Linked DNA regions of Schizosaccharomyces pombe. The gene in region 1 interacts genetically with each later gene. Each region holds a gene or a part of one and is shown in the gene's direction. Other genes may lie near its edges.

What was found.
Region 2: mutations in pub1 (region 1) and rec12 together harm fitness more than expected from each alone (negative genetic interaction), as found in Schizosaccharomyces pombe (2 studies listed by BioGRID).
Region 3: of pub1 (region 1) and ura4, a mutation in one rescues a mutant of the other (synthetic rescue), as found in Schizosaccharomyces pombe (2 studies listed by BioGRID).

The regions. Positions count from the first base shown.
Region 1 is NC_003424.3:3,961,461-3,965,216, forward strand, and holds the start of pub1 (HECT-type ubiquitin-protein ligase E3 Pub1), read left to right. Parts: upstream 1-1,605; 5' UTR 1,606-1,862; coding exon 1,863-1,879; intron 1,880-1,930; coding exon 1,931-1,953; intron 1,954-2,004; coding exon 2,005-2,149; intron 2,150-2,291; coding exon 2,292-3,756. Other genes in the region: protein Mtl2, read left to right, coding at 1-48. UniProt on the Schizosaccharomyces pombe protein: E3 ubiquitin-protein ligase which accepts ubiquitin from an E2 ubiquitin-conjugating enzyme in the form of a thioester and then directly transfers the ubiquitin to targeted substrates. Regulates ubiquitination of cdc25.
Region 2 is NC_003424.3:1,770,853-1,774,608, forward strand, and holds rec12 (DNA topoisomerase type II (DSB-forming) Rec12/Spo11), read left to right. Parts: upstream 1-2,072; coding exon 2,073-2,353; exon of another isoform or gene 2,354-2,411; coding exon 2,412-2,520; exon of another isoform or gene 2,521-2,570; coding exon 2,571-2,648; exon of another isoform or gene 2,649-2,712; coding exon 2,713-2,841; exon of another isoform or gene 2,842-2,910; coding exon 2,911-3,351; downstream 3,352-3,756. Other genes in the region: protein hua1, read left to right, coding at 1-13; UBA/TPR/DNAJ domain protein Ucp7, read left to right, coding at 3,406-3,756. UniProt on the Schizosaccharomyces pombe protein: Required for formation of the double-strand breaks (DSBs) that initiate meiotic recombination. Required for crossover recombination and chiasmatic segregation of chromosomes during meiosis I.
Region 3 is NC_003421.2:114,982-118,579, reverse strand, and holds ura4 (orotidine 5'-phosphate decarboxylase Ura4), read left to right. Parts: upstream 1-1,954; 5' UTR 1,955-2,004; coding exon 2,005-2,799; 3' UTR 2,800-2,991; downstream 2,992-3,598. Other genes in the region: thioredoxin-related chaperone Pmp20, read left to right, coding at 1-157; protein new25, read left to right, coding at 733-1,002; protein tam14, read right to left, coding at 3,324-3,397, 3,464-3,596.

The DNA.
Region 1 (3,756 bases):
TCTATTCCTCGGTCGTCATCGGAAGCTCGCAGGTTGAACCTGTTTTAAAGTATGCGCTTAAACACTTGTTGCGATAGATTTAAGCAAAAATTATTTGTTTACAATTTCTGGATATATCCGTCGCTTAAAATAAATGCGTTAGTTACGCTTGCCTTCAATTGATGGTAGAAAGTCTTGCGAAGAAAAGCTTGCTCATCACTTTTTCGTATAACAACTTTTTCTTTATTCGGCTTTTACCTTTGTTTTTTACGAAAATCTTAAGTAATCGATCTTTTCAATCTTATTGCTATCTCTTTGTTTTACCGTTACTCACTCATTTCCTTTTTGCTTGAACAGTTTTATGGTATTAGAAATTCACATTCTCATTGCAAAGCTTTGTTATTATTATGGGTTTCGCTTATACCATCTCATACAATCAATTGGTCCGTCGGTTTACTTTCTTTAAAAAAGGAGTTATTTAGCAAACTATTTATCCTTCTTTCAAACTTTCTTTTTAAACTTAACTATTTGCTTTTTCTCATGGCCCTCTTTTTTTAAGAAAATTTCGTTGCTTGCATTTCATTCAAAGTCTTAAATATGTCATCTGGTTCCTTAACTTATTGCTTTTAAATCGACTTCATCTTTTGACTGACTTTTGAATTTTTCTTTCAATTGTTTCACTGTAGTGAGATACAACCCTTAAAAAAGTCTCTTTGGTTTGTTTATTCTTATCCTTTTCTCATTTGCATTTCATTACTTATCAATCATTTCTGTTTCATTCGCCGTTTCGCTTTGTTTTTTCATTTGTACATTTCTTTACAGAATGGCGAATTCTTGTCAAATGCGACGGAAAGCCAATTTTCCTGAATAGTGTAAAACGAAATGAAACTTTTAACAGCTACCTGTTTTCCATCCCATGGTTTCTTGTTATTGAAAGTGGATAGCAAATAGTCTTTATGACCAGCCATTTCAATTTTACTTTCAGTCGCCTAACCAATCTCGTTATCTCATTTCTTTGAAATAAATGTACATACTGTACTTTTTCCTTTTCTTTTCCTTCCGTTCCTTTTTCACCGTCTCGTATATGTAATGGAGCGTCACGTTCCCTTCGCTGCACTTATCGCTCTTACTCTTTCGTCATGTTGAGGACCATCTAGCTCTACTTTCTCTCGTGTGGCTGGATGTTTACTTAACTTTGTTTTGGCCAGCATGCTCGACTACTGATAATTAAAAAATAAAAATTTTGAGCATTGTCTGTTTAAGAGTTGTTGCTAAGTTCTGGCTTTATTACTTTTATTCGCGGCACTCCGTTTGCCTTCTTGTATGTACCTTTTACAATTCTTCGTTTCCTCTCTTTCTTCTCAGTTCTAACTATCACTTGAACGCAAAGTGGTTAGATATACATTTTCCTCATTCTTTCGTATTAAATCAATTTATTAAATGCTTATAGCTTGCAAATCATACATTGTGCTGCATGATATTTACTTTCGTAGTTAACACGTAAAACGTATTTTCTGTACGCCAAAAAAGATAAAGAACAATTTGGTAATCGCGTTGTATATATATAAGGAAATGGGTTATAATGCGTTAAGGATCTAATCTGCAAGACCGATTAATTCTCCTTTCAGCCAACACCACGCGAAATCCGACGGATTTCAAAATTGTGCGCTGAAAGCACGAATTTGATTAAGGATTCCTTTTGTAGTTCTTTTTTATTTATTTCGTTCCCGAAAAAAGCGTTTTTGTATCAAATAGAAAGGATAAAACGGCCTTAATTGAAAGTTTTTTTTGCAAGCACAAATACTTGACTTTCTTTGGGAAATTGGCTTTTTTTTATTATCCAAAAGCAACGCTGGTTTGAAATTTTACCATCTTTTCCCCCTATGTCAAACTCAGCTCAGTAAGTAGTTCTTTAACTGCTATAAACACATTTGCTAACTTTTATGATTAGATCTCGTCGAATTCGAGTAACAAGTATGTGATGACATTATTCAAATGCCCTGTGCAAACGCTGACCCAAAATAGTTGTTGCTGCTGATGGCCTTTACAAACGAGATGTGTTTCGTTTTCCTGACCCGTTTGCGGTACTAACAGTGGATGGTGAGCAAACACATACCACAACTGCTATCAAAAAGACGTTAAACCCTTATTGGAATGAGACTTTTGAAGTGTAAGTGTATATCCCAGGTTTTGACCTTTCCAAGTAACTTTTATGTATATCAATTTTAGTTGGGGTTTCTTCCAGTTTATCCCTTATAATTTAGCTAATGTTAACTTTTTGATTAAAAACAATGTTTCTAACAATTCTTTAGTAATGTTACAGATAATAGCACCATTGCGATTCAGGTGTTCGATCAGAAAAAATTTAAGAAAAAAGGCCAAGGCTTTCTAGGAGTGATAAATCTTCGTGTTGGAGATGTGCTCGATCTCGCCATTGGAGGTGATGAAATGTTGACCCGCGATTTGAAAAAGTCAAATGAGAATACAGTAGTTCATGGCAAGATAATCATAAACTTATCAACGACTGCGCAGTCAACCTTACAGGTTCCATCCAGTGCAGCATCAGGTGCACGTACCCAACGTACTAGCATTACCAATGACCCGCAAAGCTCACAAAGTAGCAGTGTGTCTCGTAACCCTGCTTCCTCTCGTGCTGGTTCACCTACCCGCGACAACGCACCTGCTGCTTCCCCTGCTAGTTCAGAACCTCGCACATTTAGTTCATTTGAAGATCAATATGGGCGCCTTCCTCCTGGATGGGAAAGACGTACCGATAATCTTGGCCGAACTTATTATGTAGATCATAATACAAGAAGCACAACGTGGATTCGCCCCAACCTAAGTTCTGTTGCCGGAGCAGCCGCAGCCGAATTGCATAGTAGTGCATCGTCTGCGAATGTTACCGAAGGTGTTCAACCTTCCTCTAGCAATGCAGCTCGTCGTACAGAAGCTAGTGTTTTGACCTCTAACGCTACTACTGCTGGTTCAGGAGAGCTTCCACCGGGATGGGAGCAAAGGTATACACCAGAGGGTCGACCCTACTTTGTGGATCATAATACGCGAACTACTACTTGGGTGGATCCGCGCCGTCAACAGTACATTCGTTCCTATGGCGGTCCTAATAATGCTACTATTCAGCAACAACCTGTCTCTCAACTTGGTCCTTTGCCAAGTGGTTGGGAAATGCGTCTTACCAATACTGCTCGTGTATATTTTGTTGATCACAATACCAAGACTACCACTTGGGATGATCCTCGTTTACCTTCGTCGTTAGATCAAAACGTTCCTCAATACAAACGTGATTTCCGTAGAAAGTTGATTTATTTCCTTTCGCAACCAGCTTTGCATCCTTTGCCAGGGCAGTGCCACATTAAAGTGCGTAGAAATCATATCTTTGAAGATTCGTATGCGGAAATTATGAGACAATCTGCAACCGATTTGAAAAAACGTTTGATGATTAAGTTTGATGGTGAAGATGGTTTGGATTACGGTGGATTATCCCGTGAATACTTCTTTTTGTTATCACATGAAATGTTCAACCCCTTTTATTGTTTATTTGAATACTCTTCGGTTGATAATTATACGCTTCAAATTAATCCTCATTCTGGCATTAATCCAGAGCATTTGAACTATTTCAAGTTCATAGGCCGAGTCATTGGTCTCGCAATTTTCCATCGTCGGTTTGTTGATGCCTTTTTCGTTGTTTCTTTTTACAAAATGATTTTACAAAAGAAGGTGACGTTACAGGATATGGAAAGTATGGATGCAGAGTATTAT
Region 2 (3,756 bases), 2.2 Mb from region 1:
AATTCCCTACTAAATCAACTGCTGAGCAAAACTGATACTCCATTAAGTTCTTGTTCATATATGACATACTCTTGTAATTATTATTTATTTGAAATGAGCGACAAGACTCATTTCTCAATTTAAATATTTGAATAATTTTAAAACATTTTTTGAATGTTGCGATTTTATTCATTCTATAATTTACCAGTTTTACGACAATCCCTTTTAAGCATTCTTTCCCACCAACCCATATCATAGAGCCCCTTTTATATGCTTATTGCTCATATCGAAAATGTCTTCGTTTTTTGGGTTTGTTTATGAATTCGTGAATTTTTAATTTGGTCATAGTTTTGACCATTAAGTTTGTTTTCCAAAAATGCTCTTTCCTTATCTACTTCGTTTATGCTTTGGAAAATTTCTTCTAAATAATATCTACGGGACTTCCTAATTCTTAAAATTGCAAAATCCGTCCGTGTTCTAAGTATTTATTTATTTTACTATTGTCTAAGTATATCGGAATGATTCTCAGAGCTTTGCACTTCTTTTTCCCTAAATTTTCTATTAACTTTTATCTTTTTGTTATTGTATTAACTTACAAAAGTAATACCGGTTCATCATGCAAAATTCCATGTTTTAACAGTTGTCATAACCTCTATCTTTTCTGTATAAGAAAGGGTAACTGTAAACCACAGTGCTATTGTTGCCTAATTGTTTCTACGTTTTCTTGAGTATTAAATACTTATTAAGAAGAAGCAAAAAAAAAAAACTTGATGAAATTATTCTCCTTTAGAAACCCTTGCTCATTTTTTATCTAGTTCGTCCTGTTTATCTGCTATGCCACAAGTACAAATTTCGGGAAGCAATATGGAGTGCCTATTTTCATTATTGTTTTCCATTGATGTCATTAGAATATTATCGTTATTTGTACATCAGATTAATTGCTATCTTCTGTTCTCGCAATAAGTTAAAAAAGCTATCACTATTGTCTTGACGAAGTATTGCACCATAATAAATGACTATTAATGAATCAAGCAAACACACTACATATGGCAACTTTTAAGCTTAAAAAATTCGTTAAAGACCCATTTGGATAGGTAGCATTTTCGTACAATTGTATGTTCTCCAATTTTATTTTTTCATTTGCAAAAGCAAACCACTGTCAGTTTCTCTTTAGGGCTGGCACAAGGAAAGCATATGCTAACATATACATCGAGCAGATAGTGAGTTAGACTACTTCTTCATGTTTAGTGTTGCAAATGACTTAGTAATTCCTGATTTGAAAATCTGTAAACTAGAAACAATCTTAAATTGGATTGGAGGATATTTCAAACTGTCTTATCAAAATTAAAATGAAAGTCCTTCTTGTTTATATATATACCTTTTGTATAAAAAGGTCAGTTTCATTCATATTTTTAACATTAATGTTATTATAAATAGGTTTAAATAATCATCAAGTTAACAGTTGGTCGCATGATGTAGTCGGTTATCATGTCGATCTAATAAGTCGAATGTCGCCAGTTCGAACCTGGCTGTGACCATGTTTTTTAATTACGTTTTCTCTCTTGACAAAGGAGTTGGCAAAACGAAATTATAAGTACAATATTTATTGAAACAGTTGATATACATATTTTTATAGAAAATTAAAACTATAGAAATAAATTAAGTAACCGCTTGATCTATGGCTCTTAGTTGTCGTATGTTGCATTTGAACTCGAAAGAGTTCAAATATATTTACTTTTCTTTCAACTTTTCTGTAGACAAGAACATAAGTTGTTTAGGAATTTCAAATTTCGATCCATCTTTACGATTTACCAATTCAGTCCGCAAAGCTCGCGTGAGTCTTCTCTTACACCATTTTATCAGAAGGAAAGTCTTCAGTAAGTATTTTTTAGCAGTTAACGAAAACACATATACTGTTTCGCCTTGATATTACCCATTTATTGAATGTATGTATCATTTCTTCAGAAAACAATCTCGCTTAGATATAGCTTATTTGAATTAAGCTATTGATTTTTTACACTGTAACCATACGCGCTTTGCATAATTATCTAGACAATGCAAAGAATGCTGAACGCGTCCAGAAAGTAAAAAAAATGAATTCGAATGATAAAAAAAAAGTTGTTAGATCATGGATTGAGCAATTTGTTCATGATTTTGTTGAGCAATTAAGTAAGCCTACCAAAGATTCAGTAAATGTTGCTTTGAAAAGACGAAAGCACAATTCTTGGAATGGCAGCTTAGATTCAAAGGCCAATGAAAGACAAAAAGTTAAGGTTTTTTCATTCCCCAGGAATGAAACAACAATTGCTCAACTATTCAGGGTTTTAGATTGTGTTCATGAAGCTGTTATTTCGGATACAGTAATCACTAAGCGGTAATTGCTTTGTACTATACGCCGAAAATTCAGATTTAAGTTCTAATTACATTTGCAGAGATATTTATTACAGAGATGTAGATTTATTCAAGCGACAAACCGTAGTCGATGAGCTGCTTGGAGATATTTCAAACACCATTGGTTGCTCCAGGTCCGACCTTAACGTTGTAAGTCATTTCTTTGGAAATAGATTCATTAACGATTAATTTGATCTTAGGAAGCATCTGCTAAAGGATTGGTATTTGGGTCCATTCATATTGCTCTTGAAAACGGGACAGTAATTACTGCTACTAAAGTAGGTTCAAGTTTTAATAACCGTAAAAATTGTTTTTTCTAACTAAGAATTTTACTAAATACAGCCATTATTAATCTCTCACCATCGAATTTCATCAATCACTTCCACAGCAAAATGGGTCTTGGTCATCGAAAAGGAAGCGGTATTCCAAACGCTAACCGAAGAGGCTTTAGCGGATACAATAATTGTTACAGTAAGTGAGAATGCTTCCTTTTCAATGATATTGATGTTAGAGTGCTAGCTAACTAATTGCTTGTAACAGGCTAAAGGATTTCCAGATTTGATGACGAGAAAATTTTTAGTTAAATTAGCCAAAGCCCTCCCGGATGCTAAATTTTTTGGTATTTTTGATTGGGACCCCCATGGCTTATGCATTTATTCCTGTTTCAAGTACGGTTCTAATGCCTACAGTCATGAACCGCACAGTCAATTACGAAATTTACAGCTTTTAGGCCCTCTGTATGAGGACATTTTTAATAAAAACCAAGAATTCTCTTTAAAATTGAATAAAAGGGATATTAAAATGATTACAACATTATTACAATTTGAAGGCTTCCAAAAGGAGCCCGTTGTTCGTGAACAGCTACAGCGAATGCTGTTTATCCAGAAAAAAGCGGAAATACAAGCAATTCTAGAATTTCCTTCATGGATCAAAGGAAAATTAGCTGATGCCGACAAAAGTGGAAAGCACTCAGTACGTTAAGTTCTTGGATAGTTCAACCTACTTTCACTACACTCCCATAATAAAGCCTCCAACATGGATGACTTGCTAGATTTCAATTTTTACGATAAATCTACACCATCTAATCAAAATAATTACAGTAATAATAATAGTAGAACGCCATCCTACTCCCTTCCCGCCCCAGTAGCCCAGAAAAAGAATGCACAAATTCCATTGAAAGCATCAAAGCCCGAAGACCCTTTTGCTAATTTATTTCAAAAGAAAACGGATAATAAAATTTCCTTAAAAGAACTAGAAAGGCAGAAAGTTGGAACTCCGGACTCCAATTCCACCCCCAAATCTTCAAATTACGATCCCTTTGAAAACCTTGAAATTTTGCATCAATTATCAAATACTCCTAGAGATAAAGATGCAGTTATTCATGAT
Region 3 (3,598 bases), on another chromosome or scaffold:
TGATGCTGGCTTCGACGCTAGCGGTCTTTTGGGCCCTCTTCGCTCCAAGCGTTATGCCGCTGTTGTCGAGAATGGCAAGGTTGTCAAGGTTTTCATTGAGAACGAGGTCACCGATGTTGATATTTCCTCCGCTGACAAGGTCCTTAGCTCTCTTTAAATCTGATGAACTGTTGTACTAATTGTTTTGATGGGAATGTTTTTTTCCTTTAATGAACGAAACTTAGAATCAAAAAGATAAGCTCCTTATTTAAGGGCGTTTGAAATGATGGAGATAAAGCACTCCATATTTGAGTTTTTTTTGTCATTGTGATGATATATGTTTAGATTTATGAAATTTTATACACAATTATCTTAACAACTCATTGTTTGAGTACTAGTACAATTCTTTATAAGAAAGTAGATATGCTTAAAAAATTAATGTCAAGTAAAACGTTGAATCGATTACAATAAGTTTTCGTAACACGATTGAAAATCGGTAGAAGTTGAAATGGATATTCTAAGTGGTGGTATCAAAATAATGACTAGAAAGATGTAAGCACACCTTCAATGTATCATAATCAATGTCAGATGAATTTGGGTAATGAAAAACGTTGGCCACAGTTGGGGGCGTCTTCCTCTAGATGCTCGTCTTCTACAACCGTTCTTTACCTCAACCTTTAAATTTTCAAAATCTCCTTTTTAATAACAGTTTTCATTTTTGGGTTCTTTTTACTCATTTGTATTTCATCTTCGATGAAAATAGCTAATGTCTTAACTTTATCGTTTGCTGCAATTATTGCTGCTTCTTCCCTGGCGGTTGTAGTTAGTCCTATCACAGACAATTCCAGGGAGACAGCTTCATCCTCCATTTCTCAAAGTCCTCCTAGTCAATGGTCAAAAAAACAGTTAATTGAGTATTGTAAAAAAAATTCACTTAAAACTAGCGGATCTCATGAAGAATTGGTTATCCGTGTGCAAAATCATCTTCGTACCGCCTCTAAAAAAGTTGATGCCAGACCGTAATGACAAAACAGCTTGTATAGATTTTAATATGTTTTCGATGCTTACATAATGAGTGAGTGTCATTATTGAGGAATGCCATGTCAGATTTGACACAACTCAGAACTTATTAACTTTTTATGATTGGAACTTTTGTTTTGCCCAAGGAATTTTTAATGGAAGAAGTTGTTTTATAAATGATATTGAATTTATATCCACTCTTTTTAGCGCATTTGCATCTCTACTTTAGGTTCTTCTTTGACTAGATTCTAGGATGCGTATTGGATATACTGGTCTTTGAATCATTGTCGAAAAAAAAATTCATGGTTGTACCCATGAGCAAACTGCTTTTGTGGTTATCCATGTGCTTCTTTTGTTCAGCATCTATCTTCTTAATCGCATGGAAGATTTGATTTAAACCAAAAGAAATATTGTTAAACTTTGACAGAAGCTTTAAATTTTGATTCCATACATTAAATGGATAAAACTCCTGAAGCTTAGCTACAAATCCCACTGGCTATATGTATGCATTTGTGTTAAAAAAGTTTGTATAGATTATTTAATCTACTCAGCATTCTTTCTCTAAATAGGAATTTGTTACTTAATGGAGAAAAAAATGTTTCGATTTACCTAGTGTATTTGTTTGTATACTCACGTTTAATTTCAAACATCCATTCTATCTTGTGTAATTTTTGGCATGGTGAAAAAGATAATCAGCCTTATAATCTTTACAAAAGTAAGAAATTCTGTAAATAAGCCTTAATGCCCTTGCTTTAAATTAAAATGGTTCTTTTTCATGATAATGTTTGCACTTTGTGAATATATTTTAGATAGTTCTGTGAGGTATAATTAAGATGTTTTAGAGACTTATACAATTTTGTCTTTATAAATTCTTAATTGATTTTACCATCCCAGTTTAACTATGCTTCGTCGGCATCTCTGCACATGTCGTGTTTTCTTACCGTATTGTCCTACCAAGAACCTCTTTTTTGCTTGGATCGAAATTAAAGGTTTAAAAGCAAAGTTATGGATGCTAGAGTATTTCAAAGCTATTCAGCTAGAGCTGAGGGGATGAAAAATCCCATTGCCAAGGAATTGTTGGCTTTGATGGAAGAAAAGCAAAGCAACTTGTCAGTCGCGGTCGATTTGACGAAGAAATCCGAAATCTTAGAATTGGTAGATAAAATTGGACCCTATGTCTGTGTTATCAAGACACATATTGACGTTGTCGAGGATTTCGACCAGGATATGGTAGAAAAACTGGTGGCCTTAGGTAAAAAGCATCGTTTTCTTATCTTTGAGGATCGCAAATTCGCAGACATTGGAAATACCGTCAAGCTACAATATGCATCTGGTGTGTACAAAATTGCTTCTTGGGCTCATATCACAAATTGCCATACAGTGCCAGGCGAGGGTATTATACAAGGCCTCAAAGAAGTTGGTTTACCTTTGGGACGTGGTCTCTTGCTTTTGGCTGAAATGTCTTCCAAAGGCTCTTTGGCTACTGGTTCCTACACAGAGAAAACCTTAGAATGGTTTGAGAAGCATACCGATTTTTGCTTTGGCTTTATAGCTGGTCGTCGATTTCCTAACCTTCAAAGCGACTACATAACTATGTCCCCTGGTATCGGCTTGGATGTTAAAGGAGACGGGCTGGGACAGCAATATCGTACTCCTGAAGAAGTGATTGTAAACTGCGGTAGCGATATCATCATTGTTGGTCGTGGAGTCTATGGAGCTGGTCGTAATCCTGTTGTCGAAGCCAAGAGATATAGAGAAGCTGGTTGGAAGGCATATCAGCAAAGACTTTCTCAGCATTAAAAAAAGACTAATGTAAAATTTTTTTGGTTGGTTATTGAAAAAGTCGATGCCTTGTTTGCGTTTGTTTTCCTAGGCGTTTTATGTCAGAAGGCATTTAGAATTAGTATACAAGTACTCTTTGGTAAAATTTTATGTAGCGACTAAAATATTAACTATTATAGATAAACACCTTGGGAATAAAAAGTAATTTGCTATAGTAATTTATTAAACATGCTCCTACAACATTACCACAATCTTTTCTCTTGGATTGACATTGAATAAGAAAAGAGTGAATTTTTTTAGACTTGTAATGATAACTATGTACAAAGCCAATGAAAGATGTATGTAGATGAATGTAAAATACCATGTAGACAAACAAGATAAAACTTGGTTATAAACATTGGTGTTGGAACAGAATAAATTAGATGTCAAAAAGTTTCGTCAATATCACAAGCTTTATTATTCAAAACTAGTATACTTTTTCTCGGAGTATAATACACAATATCGGTGCAAATAGGTTTTAAAATTGCTCCAATCACATGTTCTTAAGAAAAAAACGTCAAAAGAAATCTAAGTATTCCCAAAATAATTCCTCCTGACATGAGAAGAATAAAAAACACTAAGATGCATTGTCAGTATGAAACACAAGCCAAAGTTGCTAACAATAGGATCAATTCTTACTTACTGGCAATGTTACGAGGAATCTTGGTAGGAGGATGTTTGGCAACATAACGTTCTTTTGAATTTGTTTTTACACGACGAGTAATGTTCTTCTGAAACTGTGTGTTTGCACGACGCTGAGAGGGAGTTTGAACCGTCT